Diceros bicornis minor: one gene and its partner. Each later gene encodes a partner of the first gene's protein in a complex. Links are inferred from orthologs where the notes say so. Each region holds a gene or a part of one and is shown in the gene's direction. Other genes may lie near its edges.

Region 1 (7,981 bases):
AAAAATTTAATTTCATCAAATTAACATCAATACAAAAAAATTAAATGACAAATAGTAATGTTTCTATTTTTAAATTATAAATGGCTATCCATATAACTGAATTTTGTCTAGTTGGCTTCAAGACTTAAAGGATTTTCTTCTTTTCTATATTAATCAATGAAGCTTGGTTTCTAATTAATTTTGGAGCATCTGGACCTTTGAGCTCCTTGGATAAACGTATTGTGTAATACTAAGGTTGTTTTTGTTTGTTTGTTTTTTGCCTCAAATAATTGGCTGCATTTTAATGGCAGTATGTGAAAGGCCAAGTATCAGCTACTCAGATACCAGCACAGAAGGGACTTTAGCAGAAGCACCCTCCTGCCAACCGCCCCCCCCCCAAAATCAATGAAACAGTGCCCCTTAGTGGTAGAAGGACAAAATTACTGGTAGGTCAACAGTATAGCAAAAATCTTGCTGAGATATGAATTGGTAAGTACGAAATAATTTCTCTCTAAAAAATTAGAAAGGGTTAAGCAGAACGTTTTAGAGTAATCATTGCAAAGTGGATTATGGGGATTCACAGGGTGTTTAGAAAGCCAAAAGGGAGCCATTGTATCTGCTGGGAAAAGTGAAAATCAAGGATTAACAGCCTTTAACATATAGGAAATTAAATTATCCCTAATACAAGTAGCAGAGGAATCTCAGCAGCCGTTTGTCCTCCAATGACTCTTCCACTGAGGTGGAGCACAAATGAAAGTAAGCGGATTCTTCAGAGAAATGGGATAATTTTAGATACTTACATGACCCTTTAGAATCATTGACTGGTTAATACCAATACTCAGCACCATCTGTCCTGCTAGCTGTCTTTTATAGTGGAAATCACCAAGGCTCATGGAAGTTAGGAAAGTAGTAGGGTCAATATTTGACTGTCATTGTTTCCAATTCCCTAAACCTAAAATAACTGGGGTCATCCTAGCTCCATCATATAGAATGTACCGCATGCTGTAACTCTTGCTGTTCTCTAGCTGAAAGGTGGCATGGCTATGTCATTACTGCCTGGGCTCTGTAGCCAAAACCATACATTGAGTGTGTGGCCTACTCAGTCCTTTCTTACTTCAGTTTCCTGCCTGTAAAATGGAGTTGGTAACAGCATCACAGTCAAGGCATTGTTTTGAGGATTAAATGAGAAAACACAGAAAAGTGCTTAGAGCAGTGAGTGGCACCTAGTAAAAGTTTGAGAAACATTAACTGTAATTAGCTGATACTACATAGATTGACAAGTTCTTCAAAAAGTTGCAAACTTTGGATTATATTTAAAGCCTTCTAGGATGCATACCAGCTCTCAACAACAGTAAATGACTTGGGAGGAGTAGACTTCAGATGCAAACTGAGCTTCAATGTTTTTACTTGGCACAATTCAGTATTGTTGGAATGTGTTGCAACAAGCATGTTGTACTATTGTAATTTTAAGTAAATAAATAGTGACAGAATATTTCAAAGCTTGCTTCAGTAATCCACTCTAGCCCTTGCAGTTCACCTTCCAGAATTTCTTTTATACATTTAACCTCCCTGTCATCTTAGCCCTTTGTAAAGATGCCCCACCCTCTCTAGGCTAACCTTTTGATGAGACCTTTTGATTTTAATCCAGTGGTTGCTGATGTCTGCACTCCCAGAGTGCATCTGCAAAAAGAGATGCAGCAAATGCTACAAACTCCTGCAGTGTAAGCACGCTGGTGCTCAGCCTGAAGAAGACTGCAGTCATGCACCAGGGAAACCGAGCCACAATCAGAGATTTCCATCTTCAACACAGGGCTGAAAGCTGTCACAGCATTCTGCTATCTGAGCACCAGGCTGCCCATCTGCACTTGGATTGACAAGGAAAGGGAAAACTGAAAAGAGAAGCAAGCTGCCAAGCATCCCTCCCAGTGTGGCACTGCTGTGGCACCATAGCCCAGACCAAACTAGAGCACCGAATACCACTGCTGCTCTCCCACCTCCTAGAGCACTGTACAATTTAGAACTGCTGTAGAATCCTCAAGCAGCTTCATCACGACATTTAATAACTAGAGAGGGGTTTTGAAACAAATAGGCACCCCTTCAGCAAGTTTCTTAATCTCCCTTGTACAGTGGGGATGTATTGATTAAGGTAATGCTAGCTGCTAAAACAAAAGTTTATTTCCCCCTTACAAGAGTCCCCTGTGGATGCTCCTGGTTGGGGGAGGCAGGGCTCTGCTCTGCACAGTCCGTCTGGGACCCAAGTTGATTGGGGGAGGGGGCGTGCTGTCTTCAGTGCTGCCTTCCAAGAGCCCCTGGGCTTTGGCATCCAGCCAGTGGAACAGGAAAGAGGAGTGCTCACGGGAGGTTTTTATGGGCCAGGCCTGGAAATGGTACGATTACATTCTGTGGCCACACCCATCTATGTGCAAAGGGAGGCTGGGAAATGTGATTCATCTATGTGCCCAGAGAAAAAGAGGACATGGATTCAGTGATCAGAGAGCCAGTCTCTGGCACAAGAAATGACATATTTACCTTGAGGGACTGTGATGAGGATTAAAGATGATGCGGTGATGTATGCTTGGCTCATTGGGGCTATTGGGGAGGGGGCCGAGGATGTAAAGAGGTGAGCAGTAGAATGCCCAAGCAGGGACTGGATAGCGGGCTGAGCTGGAGTAGTCACAGGTACAAGGGTGATGGCAGAGCAGACCCACTTAGGGCTAAGGGGTTTGAGTTGGGAGCATTCAGGTAGACACAAATGCTGCTCATCAAAGGGTTTCGGCACTGTGCCTTCAGGCTATGAGGTAGAAATGCACTTCCTGCCCCCGTCTGCCACCTCCCCACTCCCTACTCTCTCTCTCTCTCTTTCTCTCTCTCTCATCCCTCTATCCCCATTGGATGTGTGGTCATGTGACTAGTTCCGGCCAACAGGCAGAAGTGACATGTACCACTTCTGGACTGAGCTTTTAATTGCTCGCGTAAGGCTGTCTAGAGGGCTCTTTGCCCTCTGCCAATGAACAGCAAACAGTATCGCAGAGACAACTGGCTCCGTCACCCTGGGTCCTGGAGAAGCACAACACAAAACGGAGCCTCTAGGCACCCAGGCAACATCTTGTTGTTTTAAGGCACTGGGATTTTTGAAGTTGTATATTACTGCAGCATAACCTAGTTTATTCTGATTGATATAGAAACCTTTTTTTCAGGCAAGAGGCATCAGATGGTCTGTGAACAAACAAACCAACAGAAAGGCATTCTTGTCCATTTTAGATCATCACTTCCAAGAACTAAGGGATCATGCTTTTAAGAACATAATTTGTACATTATTGCCTCAATGCAAGCAAAGGAAGTGCTTGATGGGCCTTGGATTATTTTAAATACTGATAAAATCAACTTTCAATAGAGCCCTAGACACACTCTCTTCCTTAAAAGATCATTAGTCCCAATTTAGAGAAAGATTAAAGCTACCAAATGCTAAAGAGAAATGTTAAGGACATATAATCAGAAGTAAAAGAAAAATGAAAATGGATGAGCTTTGGACGGAATTGTGGGCAGCTGTCTGAAGCACTTCTATGTAGGGCACAAATTTGGCTACTTTCCCTTCCTCTGGGATCTCTAGAACTGACCTCCTCAATTAGGGAGGCCTCCTGCACTGCCGGTTGCCTTGTGGGCCCTCCTAACGCTCTGGCCTGTGGACCAGCACTGTAATGTTTTCCTAACTTGTGCAATTCCGTCTGGGATCTCACTCATATCATCCCACACTACAGATAACCTGACCAAAAATACTCCGTCCATGACTTTGTAATATGAGACCATGACTTTGTAATATGTTCCTCTAGAGTAAAGGAAGTGATCCACCAGGAGACCCTAGTTTTGCTAACTTCAGGGTAAGAGGAAGCTTTGATGTTCCCAGTCAGCTGGTAGAGCTGCCTTAACCAGAGCTCAACAAGTAGACTATAAACTCCTTAGATACAAGAGCTATATTTTATTCATCTAACAGCCCAGTAATTAGTTAAGAGCCTGCTTTGGATTCAGCCAGATTCTGGCTTGAATATTGATTCCACCACTTAATAACTGGGTAACCCTGGCCACTTAACCTCCCTAATCCAGTGTCATCATCTGTAAAATGGGGATAATAATGTCTAACTCCATTGACTTGTAGAAATTAAATGGGGCACTTGTATGTAAAGCTTCTGGTGCAGCTCAAAAGTCTTTGCTGAGTGCTTTGAAGAACAGTGGCTTCTATCCAACCCAAAGTGTGTGATCTCAGAAGAAACTGTATGAGTCTCCATCAACTTTAAAGGAGAATTCCTTTGCCAGAAGCTGCAAATGCTATAAAGTTGGGGTTGAATGGATAGTGTTTACCTCAAGGGAAGGGACTGGTTTTCATTTTATCTGCATTATTTGAATTTTTGTATGGATTAAAAATACATGGAATTAAAAATAAATACAACGTATTTAAGGGAAAAAAAATGTTGTGTTGGCAGGGTTGCTGGCTTATTTACTGAATCTTTTGGCTCCTTCAGGGACAGCAAGAGCAACCAACAGAAAACACTAATAATTACCCATATTAGAACAACAGCCCCGTTCCCATATGGACCTGGGGGTAGAAACAAAGTATAATAATCCTTTATAGTTGCACCAAATCTTCTTTCCCAAGACTTTACACTAGCTTCCATATATTATCTTTATCTCCCATAGGTCTTTGGGGTGGTTTCCATCCCTCCCTGCCCCCAAGCAACTGTAGGAGGGGAGAAACTGAGGCAGGTTGGGGGAGAGGGCCTCCTCCTGCTCTCAACCCCGGGACCCAGGCGGTTACCGCCGTTTCAGCCCCCCGCTCCCCCGGAGCGCCCAGGCAGCTGGCAGGAGGGCCGGGCCCGGCCGGAGCCGCGCGTAGACCAGGCCGGCCAGGCCCAGGGGGCGGGCCCGGAGCCTCGGCCTCGCCTGCGCCGGCGCCGCGCCGCGCCCGCCGCTTCCCGGCCGCTCGCTCGGGGCGGCCTCTCGGGGCCCGGAGCTCTGCCGGGCGAGCGCCGCCACCATGCTGCAGAAGCGGGAGAAAGTGCTGCTCCTGAGGACCTTCCAGGGCCGGACGCTGCGGATCGTGCGGGAGCATTACCTGCGGCCCAGCGTGCCCTGCAACAGCCCGCTCTGCCCGCAGCCCGCCGCCTGCCGCAACGGTCAGGGGCCCGGCGGGAGCCAGGGCGGCCGGGCGGGAGCGAGGGGGGCCGGGCGGGAGCGAGGGGAGCCGAGGCGGGAGTGAGGGGAGCGGAGGGCGGCCGGGCGGGAGCGAGGGGGGCCGAGGCCGGGCGGGAGCGAGGGGAGCGGAGGGCGGCGGGGCCGGGGCCGAGCGCCCGCCGTGAGGAGGAAGGGCACGGCCTGGAGGCGGAGCGCGAGGCCGCGGAGGCGCCCGCCCGCAGGCATTACCTCCGGCCCGACTGCGGGTCAGGAGCGAGGGGCCGGCGGCTTCAGAGCCGCAGAGACGCCCCTCGTCCGCTGCTTCTGGGCTCCCCACACGGGACTCCCCGACTGCTCCGCTCCATAACATGGAAGGGCCGGGAGACGGACGCCCCCCTAGCCCCGAGGCCCGGTGATTTGCCTTCCGAGGGGCTTGTGGGCTCAGGAACCTGCCCCCTCTTGCGCCCCAGGACCGTGTGGTGGTGACTGGGGAGTTCCTGAGCTGTTGGCCCCGCAGTGAGAGGCGGGGCGCGAGCCGGCGGCGTCATTTTACGTTGCTTTGCTCCGCACAAATATTCTGACCTGCCGGCACCGATGCCTCAGACGTTTATCCAGTGGACACCCTCTTCACTGCAGGATTTGTGAATAATCTGGGCCCTCGTTGTACAGGAAGGTCGTGGGGAAGTTAGATTTGGGACTGCTGTGCATTAGACCTTCCCTACTTGGTTTCTAGGCTGCAGGGTGACCAGTTTATCGAGGAAGATTACTGGTTCTCTTCCCTCTGGTGGGAGATGAGCGTGGGGGTCCTTTTCAGCGAATATTTGGAATCCTCAGCTTATGTTAAGGTGAACGTTTTAGTTACAGCTTGGCTAACCAGCTCTCTGAGACACGGGCAGGGTGGAAACGCTACCGCTGCCCTTGCTTGCACTGAGCATCTTTTCTGGTCAATTCAGTCTTTTTGGTCTTTGGAGACTCCTGAGCATGTTCACCAACTTGAGACAGAGACTTGAAATAGCTGGGCGAAACAAGTGGTTAACATGTATATTTTGGGGTGCCCCATTTGAATGTGCGTATGTCAGTGAGTTAACGCAGAAATATTCAGGTTGTTCTGAAGATTTGCTTGTTTGTTTTAAAAAATCAGTCATCTCCTTCTTCCCTGGCAACACCGTAAACAACATTGAGCTTTTATTTATCGCAGCTTCGGAAAAATGACGGTGCTGAATCTACCTGAACTTTGTGCCTCTACCAAAGTAGATTTATCTTGTCTTTAAAAAACTTCACCGTGTAGTAAGATTGGAAGTGATTTTGCACACTAGGGCACCATAACGTTGAAATAATCCAGGTTTGCAAATGTTGTCTAATCTCTTACGTTTTGAATTATGCTTCAGATGGGAAACTCTTGTCTAGTGATGTGACTCATTACGTGATCCCAGATTGGAAAATTGTTCAAGATTACCTGGAGATCCTTGAGTTTCCTGAATTAAAGGGAATTATTTTCATGCAAACGGCTTGTCAAGCTGTGCAGCATCAAAGAGGCCGGAGGTATCTGGTTTTCATTATTTATTTATTTATTTATGGCATAGATTTTTGTTTCCCCCTTAGAAAAAGCCCCTTGTTGGATGGAGAGGGGAGGAATTCATTACTTTGTCAGAAGAGACTTTTTGAACTAATTTGGTATTCTCTTTGCTAGTGAGGAATGCAGTAACATTATTTTATATTTCTGCTTCAACACCTGGCCAAAAGATCTGACTGTAGATCAATAAACTGCAGTGTCCCCAGTATGTGGGTATTTAAGATTCTTGGCTTTTGGTTTGCATTTTTATAGTAGCCGAGTTATTGCTGATTTCTTGTTGATAACGCATTTTACGTAATCTTATTTATAGACATATTGTTTCAGAAGCTTACTTTTTTTTCCCTTGGGAAAAAGAGTACTTTATTTTTAAATTTTAGACTCCTTTATTGTGGATGCAAATTGTACTTGTAGTGATTTAGTCATTGAAACCAGAATTAACTTGTTTTATTTTTAGATTACCAGTATAACTACCAACCATAGTAGTTGTATTTGCTAAACAAAAGATTTCTGATTGAAATGAGTCTAAAATGCTTGCCTTGTGCCTAAATGAATAACAGTTGTTCACCTTTTAAACAAGTACAGTCGCCCCTCGGTATCAGTGGGGGATTGGTTCCAGGACCACGGAACCAATCCAAACTGTGGATCAAAAACATAGTACCTACATGTAAAATCCGCGGTTGGTTGAATCCGCGGATGCGGAACCTGCGGATACGGAGGGCCGACTGTACTCTAAAAAATGGTTCTGCTTCATTTAACATTGGGAAAGATTTATGATTTGAACTTAAAGACTGTATGAAAACAGCATATTAGAATTATATATTCAACCTCTTAACACCCCAGGTTATTTAAACAACAGAAACTATGTGTTCATTCTTTTTTAAATGTTGTGGTTTTTTAAGGTAGCAAAAGATGAAGTATGTTTATTTGTATATGAAAATGATAAGTTGTCCTTATTATGTGCTCAGTTCAAAAAAATGTGCGTTTTTCTAGATTGTGTGCAGGTTTTTCAGGTAGAATATTTTTAAATGAGCTTGAAGTTGATTTTGTTCAGACACAAAGATATAGATGTTTATACACATCCAGGTTTAAATGCTGCTCCAAATGTCGTATTTCAATTTCTGCTACTAAAATCAATTTGTTGTTATCATTCTGATTGCTAACACACTGCCGAGCCTTTTCAACTTCTGTTTTCTAAAATATTTTTAATATTAAGGAGTGTTTTAAAAGCCAGTTCCTGGGACATTCAAAAGCAAAGAATTGGAA
Region 2 (7,104 bases), on another chromosome or scaffold:
CAGTAGGGTGGCCCACAATGGCCTTCCCCAGCACGATTCTGGGTGTTTTCAGTGAGGTCTGATGCTCTATGTTTAGAGCAAGGGCTTGGAAAACAGAAATGCTGTCATGGAGGTGCTGAACACAAGAGAGGCCAGGTCTAGTACATGTTGGGAATTACGAGCAAAAGAAATATTAAACTAAATGCACAAAGTATAAAGTGTAGCCATGTCTAGACACCATGTTGTATCTGAATAATTTTTGTGCCAATAAATGACATCAGAATTTTAAAAACATGTATATGAGTGGCTTTTTATTCATGATCATTAGTTCATAAAGGAAGCAGTTATTCCTTCAACATTCATTAAGCACTTAGTACTAGCAACTACACAGGATGTGGGATCTACACGACGTGGTCCCTCTCCTCGCGGTGTTCACAGGCCAGACAAGGCAGAGGCGGCGTCACCTAGGAGCGGACTGACAACTCCACCAACCTAAGCGGTGAGAAGAGCCACGTCCAGAGGGTGAGCGTAAGAGGGGGCACTAACTCACTGGGCGAGCCAGGAAAGCCTGGGGGAAAGGGGGACATTTGCCACGGGTCTTAAAGGAGGAGTGGGAGTTTGTCAGATGAAGCAGATGAGGACATTCCTGGCAGAATCGAGAGATAAAAGCACAATATCGTGCAGCAATGGCAAGTAGTAACTTGAACAAGATTAGATTGCAGGTATTCAGCCACTGTTGATACATAAAATGGCAGTTTCTCACAGCTGGACCTCAGAGTTCAGCATATCTGGCTCAGTGGTCAGTACGGAATAAAAGGAGTAATAGGAACTAAAAGGAGGCTACAAAGCAGAGTGAGGCCAGACTGGCCTTGCCTCAAACGGCAAGGAGTTTGAACGTGATGCTGTGGACGACAGGGAACCATGTGAAGTTTTAAAACAGAAGTAGAATCTGAGTCGTGTTTTTAAGAGCCACCTGGTGTCAAACAAGTGGAAAGAAAATGAGAAGCCACAAGATCTAGTCAAGAGGCTGTTGCAATAATGGAGAGGAGAGAACATTGAATGGAGCTGGCCAGTACTATGTTTGGGTTCCTCTAAAGAAAGAGCACACCTGGGGGCCTGACCACGGCGTAGCGGTTAAGTGCGCGCGCTCCTCTGCTGGCGGCCCGGGTTCGGGTCCCGGGTGTGCACTGACGCACCGCTTGTCAGGCCATGCTGTGGCAGCGTCCCACATAAAGTGGAGGAAGATGGGCACGGATGTTAGCCCAGGGCCAGTCTTCCTCAGCAAAAAAAAAAAAACGAGGACTGGCATGGATGTTAGCTCAGGGCTGATCTTCCTCACAAAAAAAAAAGAAAGCATGCCTAAAGAGAAGTTCTTCCAAAGAAGATCGTTTTTAGTTGTTCAAGTAAATTTTTTTTTCTAAATTCCTATGGGCCACAGCTACCCAGTGAGAAATACTGTATCATTATAAAAGCTATTCAAAGAACTTGTGTTAGGGGAGCATGAGAATTACAAGGCCAGGAGGCATATCGTATGTGACTTTGTATCCCCAAAATCTGCCAGAAGACCTAGCCCACAGTGGTATTCCATATAGGTTTGTTTGAGGACTCTTCTATTAAAAACAAAGATGGATTTTTTGGATTTTTAGTGATACTAATAACAGTTTTAACCTTCACAGCTAGAAAATCTCATACCTATCTTAAATTTTCCATGAACAATCTTGTTGTTGTTGTGAGGAAGATCAGCCCTGAGCTAACATCCATGCTAATCCTCCTCTTTTTGCTGAGGAAGACCGGCTCTGAGCTAACATCTATTGCCAATCCTTCTCCTTTTTTTTCCCCCCAATGCCCCAGTAGACAGCTGTATGTCATAGCTGCACATCCTTCCAGTTGCTATATGTGGGCCGCAGCCTCAGCATGGCAGGAGAAGCGGTGCATCGGTGCACGCCCGGGATCCGAACCTGGGCCGCCAGTAGTGGAGCACGTGCACTTAACCACTAAGCCACCCGGCCAGCCCTCCATGAACAATCTTAAACCATGTATCAACTTTTGTGACAGAAAATGTGATCACCATAACTTTCTTGGTTCTACCTGAAATAATTATCAATGACTACAGTGATCTTACCATTCATGAAAGATAAAGGGCATAGGAATGAATGGACTCAGGGAAATTGTGGCAATCAGTGGTAAAGACATACCTCAGGACAGGAGAGTCATTGGGATTAAGATCTTTGGTGATGGGCGGGCCCAGTGGCTTAATGGTTAAGTTCGCCAGCTCCGCTACTGGAGGCCCGGGTTCGGATCTCAGGCGCACACCGACACACTGCTTCTCCGCCCATGCTGAGGCTGTGTCCCACATACAGCAACTAGAAGGATGTGCAACTATGACATACAGCTATCTACTGGGGCTTCGGGGAAGGAAAAAAGGAGGAGGATTGGCAATAGATGTTAGCTCAGAGCTGGTCTTCTTCAGCAAAAAGAGGAGGATTAGCACGGATGTTAGCTCAGGGCTGATCTCCCTCCCCAAAAAAAAAAAAAAAAAAAAGATCTTTGGTGAATCCAATGGGTTTTAAGTTACATCTAAGCAAATCCTTTGTTGAGATGAATTACCAGGGGCAAGTGAGGAAATAATCAAGGCATTTGAAGACAGTCTAATTACCCTATCAATCCAGATTGTTTCACACAACTGCTTTGTGAAGGGAGGGATGTGGCAAAGAATGACTTTGGGGGTCCTTACATTCACAGGGTGCCATAGGCTGGGCCTTAAAACTCTGGGAGGCATGTAAAGTGGTTTGTAAGAGTCAAGGCTGTAGTGTCAGATTGCGTAGTTTCAAATCTCAGCCCCACATCATACTCCCTGTGTGACTTTGGCCAAGTTACTTAACCTCTCTATGCCTGTTTCCTCCTCTGAAAGTGTGCATAATGGTGTGATCTACCACATAAAGGTTGTTTTGAGGATGAGATAATAACCATGGAAAGCACTCAGCACAGCCTCACATGTGATATTACGTTGAACTATATGAAATAAGTGCTCAAAAGTATTAGTTGTTAAAAGGAACAAGGCTAGGCCTTTGTTCTGCCAGGGCACCTGTGTACCTGAGGTACACAAATTGGGGGGGAAATGAAAAGTATCCTGCTAAAAGAATACTCCGAATAACGATGACAGGTAACATTTGTTGAACACTTACTAAGTCAAACGACTTGTATTAAGGATGTGCTACCCCGATCTTAGGAGAGAAGATACGCCCTGCTGAGCTTCCCAAAACCCATCCCCTGAGCTGCGTGATAATACAGTGCCTCCTTCATAACTATGCTCTTCCAGGCATTCATTTAACAAATGTTTGAGTTCCCACTATGCCTTACCAAGAGTGGCTCCAGCGGTGTAGATGGGGAGGAACGTCTGACTGCAGGAGTTCGAGAGCACTGGAGGTGACTAAGTACAGGGGGAGCAGGCAGACGTCTTTTCGAGTTCACCTGTAAGAGGCAGGAGAAATGCGCCGGTGGCTGGAAGGAGGCGTGGGGTCGTGTTGTTTTTGTTTTGTCTTTTTACTTGGGAGAGATACCGTCACATGTGTAGGCTGTTAGGAATGAACCTGTATCCAGGGGAAAGATAGGTGATGCCAGAGAGAGGAGATAATTGCAGGAGCCACGATCAAGTTGGGAGGGGGAGGCACGGAACCAGAGCTTGGGAGGAGCTGACTTTAAATATGAGAATAACTGGGTCCTCCGGGTCCCACCCTAAATCACAGATTGTTGGGACGATACAATCAGGTTAAACAAAAGATGCAAAGCCCCCCCGGTGGGGCGCTCAAGCCTGAAACCTCAACGCACGTTGCCCGCAGCTCGTCCCCCGCGACGACAGCCTTTGCACATGCGTGGTGCGCGCATGTCGCGTCGGCCCGAGGCACTCTCGCGAGAAGAGCCGTGCAGGCCGGGAAAATGGCGCTTCCCAGTCCCGGAGATCCCAAAGCCCCGTCGACAACAAGCGCGGCCAAGTCCGACGGAGAGATGGTGCTGCCGGGCTTCCCGGACGCAGACAGCTTCGTGAAGGTGAGCTCGCGGGGCCTTGGGGGCACCGGGAGCCGCCCGCGGCCGGCCGGAAGCAGGCCCGGGCCCTCTCTGCGGCCGCACTCCCGGCCGTGCGCGAGCCGCAGCAGAGCCCGGGCGGGGGGCGAAGGGCCGTTACCCGCGCCGGGCACAGTCTCTCCCTTCACCCCCGGGGATGGGGCCTCGCACGCGGACGCTGAGGGACGCTCTGCTTCCCAGGGCCCTCGTTCTCTCCTTGGAGCGCATGCAGCTCTGAGTGTGGAGCGCCGTCTCCGCGTCGTGGGAAGGGCCTCCTTGTCACCCTGATGTCCCCAGCCCCCCCCCCCAGGCCTGAGCCACCCATCCAACTCTCCGGAGGGACTCCGCAGCTTTAGGCTTCCCACAGCTGCCGGCGTCCTCCCCTCGCGCCTCTGGGATGGCCCTTCTTCCCTCTCCGGAGGTCCAGTCCTACATAATCCCCAACCCTGGGTTTAATGTCCCCGTGAGAGCTGTCACCGAGTCAGCCTCCTCTAAGTGCGTTAGCACATTTATCAATGCCTTCTTGAAGGAACACAGGGTTCAGTTAAATTATTTGTGTATTGATGTTTAAATATGAACAAACATAAAACTAGGTTTAAACGCCTCATGCAAAGCTGTTACGAAGCCATGAAGCTAAAATAACTTGTAAGTTAGCACTACAAGTTCCAAAAACTCCACTCACGTTATATCTAATAAGCAGATGCTATTGTTAATTCATTTATTTGGCTCTGAGTTGTTCCTGGACCACTAGCCGTGGTCCTGATTAGGTGGCCTTTGTGCTCACAAGCCACCATATACTCACGTGACTCAAGTTCCCACCTCCTTTCTCTCATTTTTTTTTGGAAAATGTTTATTACGCAACTCACAATGATGTCATTTGGCCTTCACCTGACCAACCATCATTTATCTATGACAGTCACTTCAGGTTTTTTCTCATGACCACACAATTAAAATAGACAACTACTTGGGGCCGGCCCGGTGGTACAAGCGGTTAAGTGCACGCGCTCCGCTGCGGCGGCCCAGGGTTCGCCGGTTCGGATCCCGGTTGCGCACCAACACACCGCTTGTCAAGCCACGCTGGGGTGGCGGCCCATATAAAGTGGAGGAAGATGGGCACAGATGTTAGCCCAGGGCCAGTCTTCCTCAGCAAAAAAAGAGGAGGATTGGCAGGTGTTAGCACAGGGCTGATCTCCTCACACACACAAAAAAAAATTATTCTGAAAAAAAAAAAGAAAACGTAGACAACTACCTGGCACTAACTGGACCATAAACACAAGTCCAGTTGTGGGCAGTAGCCATTATAAATTGGTCATCCGAAGGACCTAGAATATTCTTATATTGTTTTTAGATGCTCTTCCCAAATGAAAACACAAAAATAATTTTCTGTAGAAAGCTCATGGACCTGAATTTGAGTAGTAGTAATAATAATGGCGCTTATGTGCCAGGCGCTAGCCTAAGTGATGTATGTAGTTGTTCTTTCTCTCCCCACTCTCCCAAGAATATAAGCTCCAAAACTTGGTTTCGTGTTCACCATTGTTTCCTTAGGACCTAGGGTAAAATCAGCACTAAATGAATATTTTTTGGATGTGTAAAGATAGGATATCTTCATCATCTAGCACAATGCATTATATGTAATGCACATATATAGATCTTGAAAAAAAGTTGCTGAATGAATGGGGACTCCTGTTTAAATAAACATGCTTGTTTTTGTGGTTTTTGACAGTTTGCTCTTGGGTCAGTGGTGGCAGTCACCAAGGCATCTGGGGGCCTACCACAGTTTGGCGATGAGTATGACTTTTACCGAAGTTTTCCTGGCTTCCAGGCATTTTGTGAAACACAGGGAGACAGGTTGCTTCAGTGGTAAGTACTACATATTGTTTTCTTGTGTTGAAAGAACTGAATATAAAGAAGTAGATAATTTTTCCTAAAATTTGTTTTTTCTTTCCATAATTTTCTATACTATAAAGAGCTCTGAAATGTAAAAATGAGACAATGGATTTTTTTTTTTTTTTTTGGTGAGGAGATCAGCCCTGAGCTAACATCCGCCAATCCTCCTCTTTTTTTTGCTGAGGAAGACGGCCCTGGGCTAACATCCGTGCCCATCTTCCTCCACTTTATATGGGACGCCGCCACAGCATGGCTTACCAAGCAGTGCGTTGGTGCGCGCCCGGGATCCGAACCAGCGAACCCCGGGCCGCCGCAGCGGAGCGCGCGCACTTAACCGCTTGCGCCACCGGGCCGGCCCCGAGACAATGGATTTTGATTAGGGAAGCGTTACTTGGTAACTTTTGAGTTTAACCTTTAAAAAATGTATTGACTTTTGGGCCAGCCCAGTGGCCAACAGTTAAGTGCACGCGCTCTACTGCAGCAGCCCTTGGTTCAGATCCCAGTCGCACACCAATGCACTGCTTGTCAAGCCATGCTGTGGTGGCGTCCCATATAAAGTAGAAGAAGATGGGCACGGATGTTAGTCCAGGGCCAGTCTTCCTCAGCAAAAAGAGGAGGATTGGCATCGGATGTTAGCTCAGGGCTGATCTTCCTCACACACACACACACACAAAAATGTATTGACTTTGGATGCCGGCCACATGATGCAGTGGTTAAGTTCAGCGTCCTCTGCTTCGGGATCCGGGCACAGACCTACACCGCTCCTCAGCCATGCTGAGGCGGCACCCCCCACACAGAATAGAGGAAGATTGGCACAGATGTTAGCTCAGGGCTAGTCTTCCTCAAGCAAAAAAAAAAAGAAAATGTATTGACTTTTGCATCTATGGACAGTGAATCTTTTTGAATTAACATGGGACTTGAAAACCTAGATCCAAGATTCTCTAACACAACTTGCAGAGTCACAAGTATTAGCTTTCTAATAAGTGTATTAGGACAGACAATACACAAACATTGATTTTGTTTTACTGTTGCATGACAGAATTAGAGAATCTGTTTTAGATTTCACATTAAAACAATGAATGCACAGTACATTACTTACATAGTATTTTATACTTTTTAGAATTTAAAGGAAGCTTTGAGGTAATTTCTTCCATCCCTTCAATGAACAGATGAGGA

The links.
Region 2: DIS3L (region 1) and EXOSC10 share a complex: the UniProt entries of both Homo sapiens proteins name them as parts of the RNA exosome complex. The link is inferred for Diceros bicornis minor from reciprocal best matches to the Homo sapiens genes DIS3L and EXOSC10.

Annotation. Positions count from the first base shown.
Region 1 is NC_080744.1:60,497,632-60,505,612, forward strand, and holds the start of DIS3L (DIS3-like exonuclease 1), read left to right. Parts: upstream 1-4,952; 5' UTR 4,953-5,008; coding exon 5,009-5,147; intron 5,148-6,533; coding exon 6,534-6,687; intron 6,688-7,981. UniProt on the Homo sapiens protein: Catalytic component of the RNA exosome complex which has 3'->5' exoribonuclease activity and participates in a multitude of cellular RNA processing and degradation events.
Region 2 is NC_080752.1:30,363,258-30,370,361, reverse strand, and holds the start of EXOSC10 (exosome component 10), read left to right. Parts: upstream 1-3,864; 5' UTR 3,865-3,915; coding exon 3,916-4,026; intron 4,027-5,764; coding exon 5,765-5,901; intron 5,902-7,104. UniProt on the Homo sapiens protein: Catalytic component of the RNA exosome complex which has 3'->5' exoribonuclease activity and participates in a multitude of cellular RNA processing and degradation events.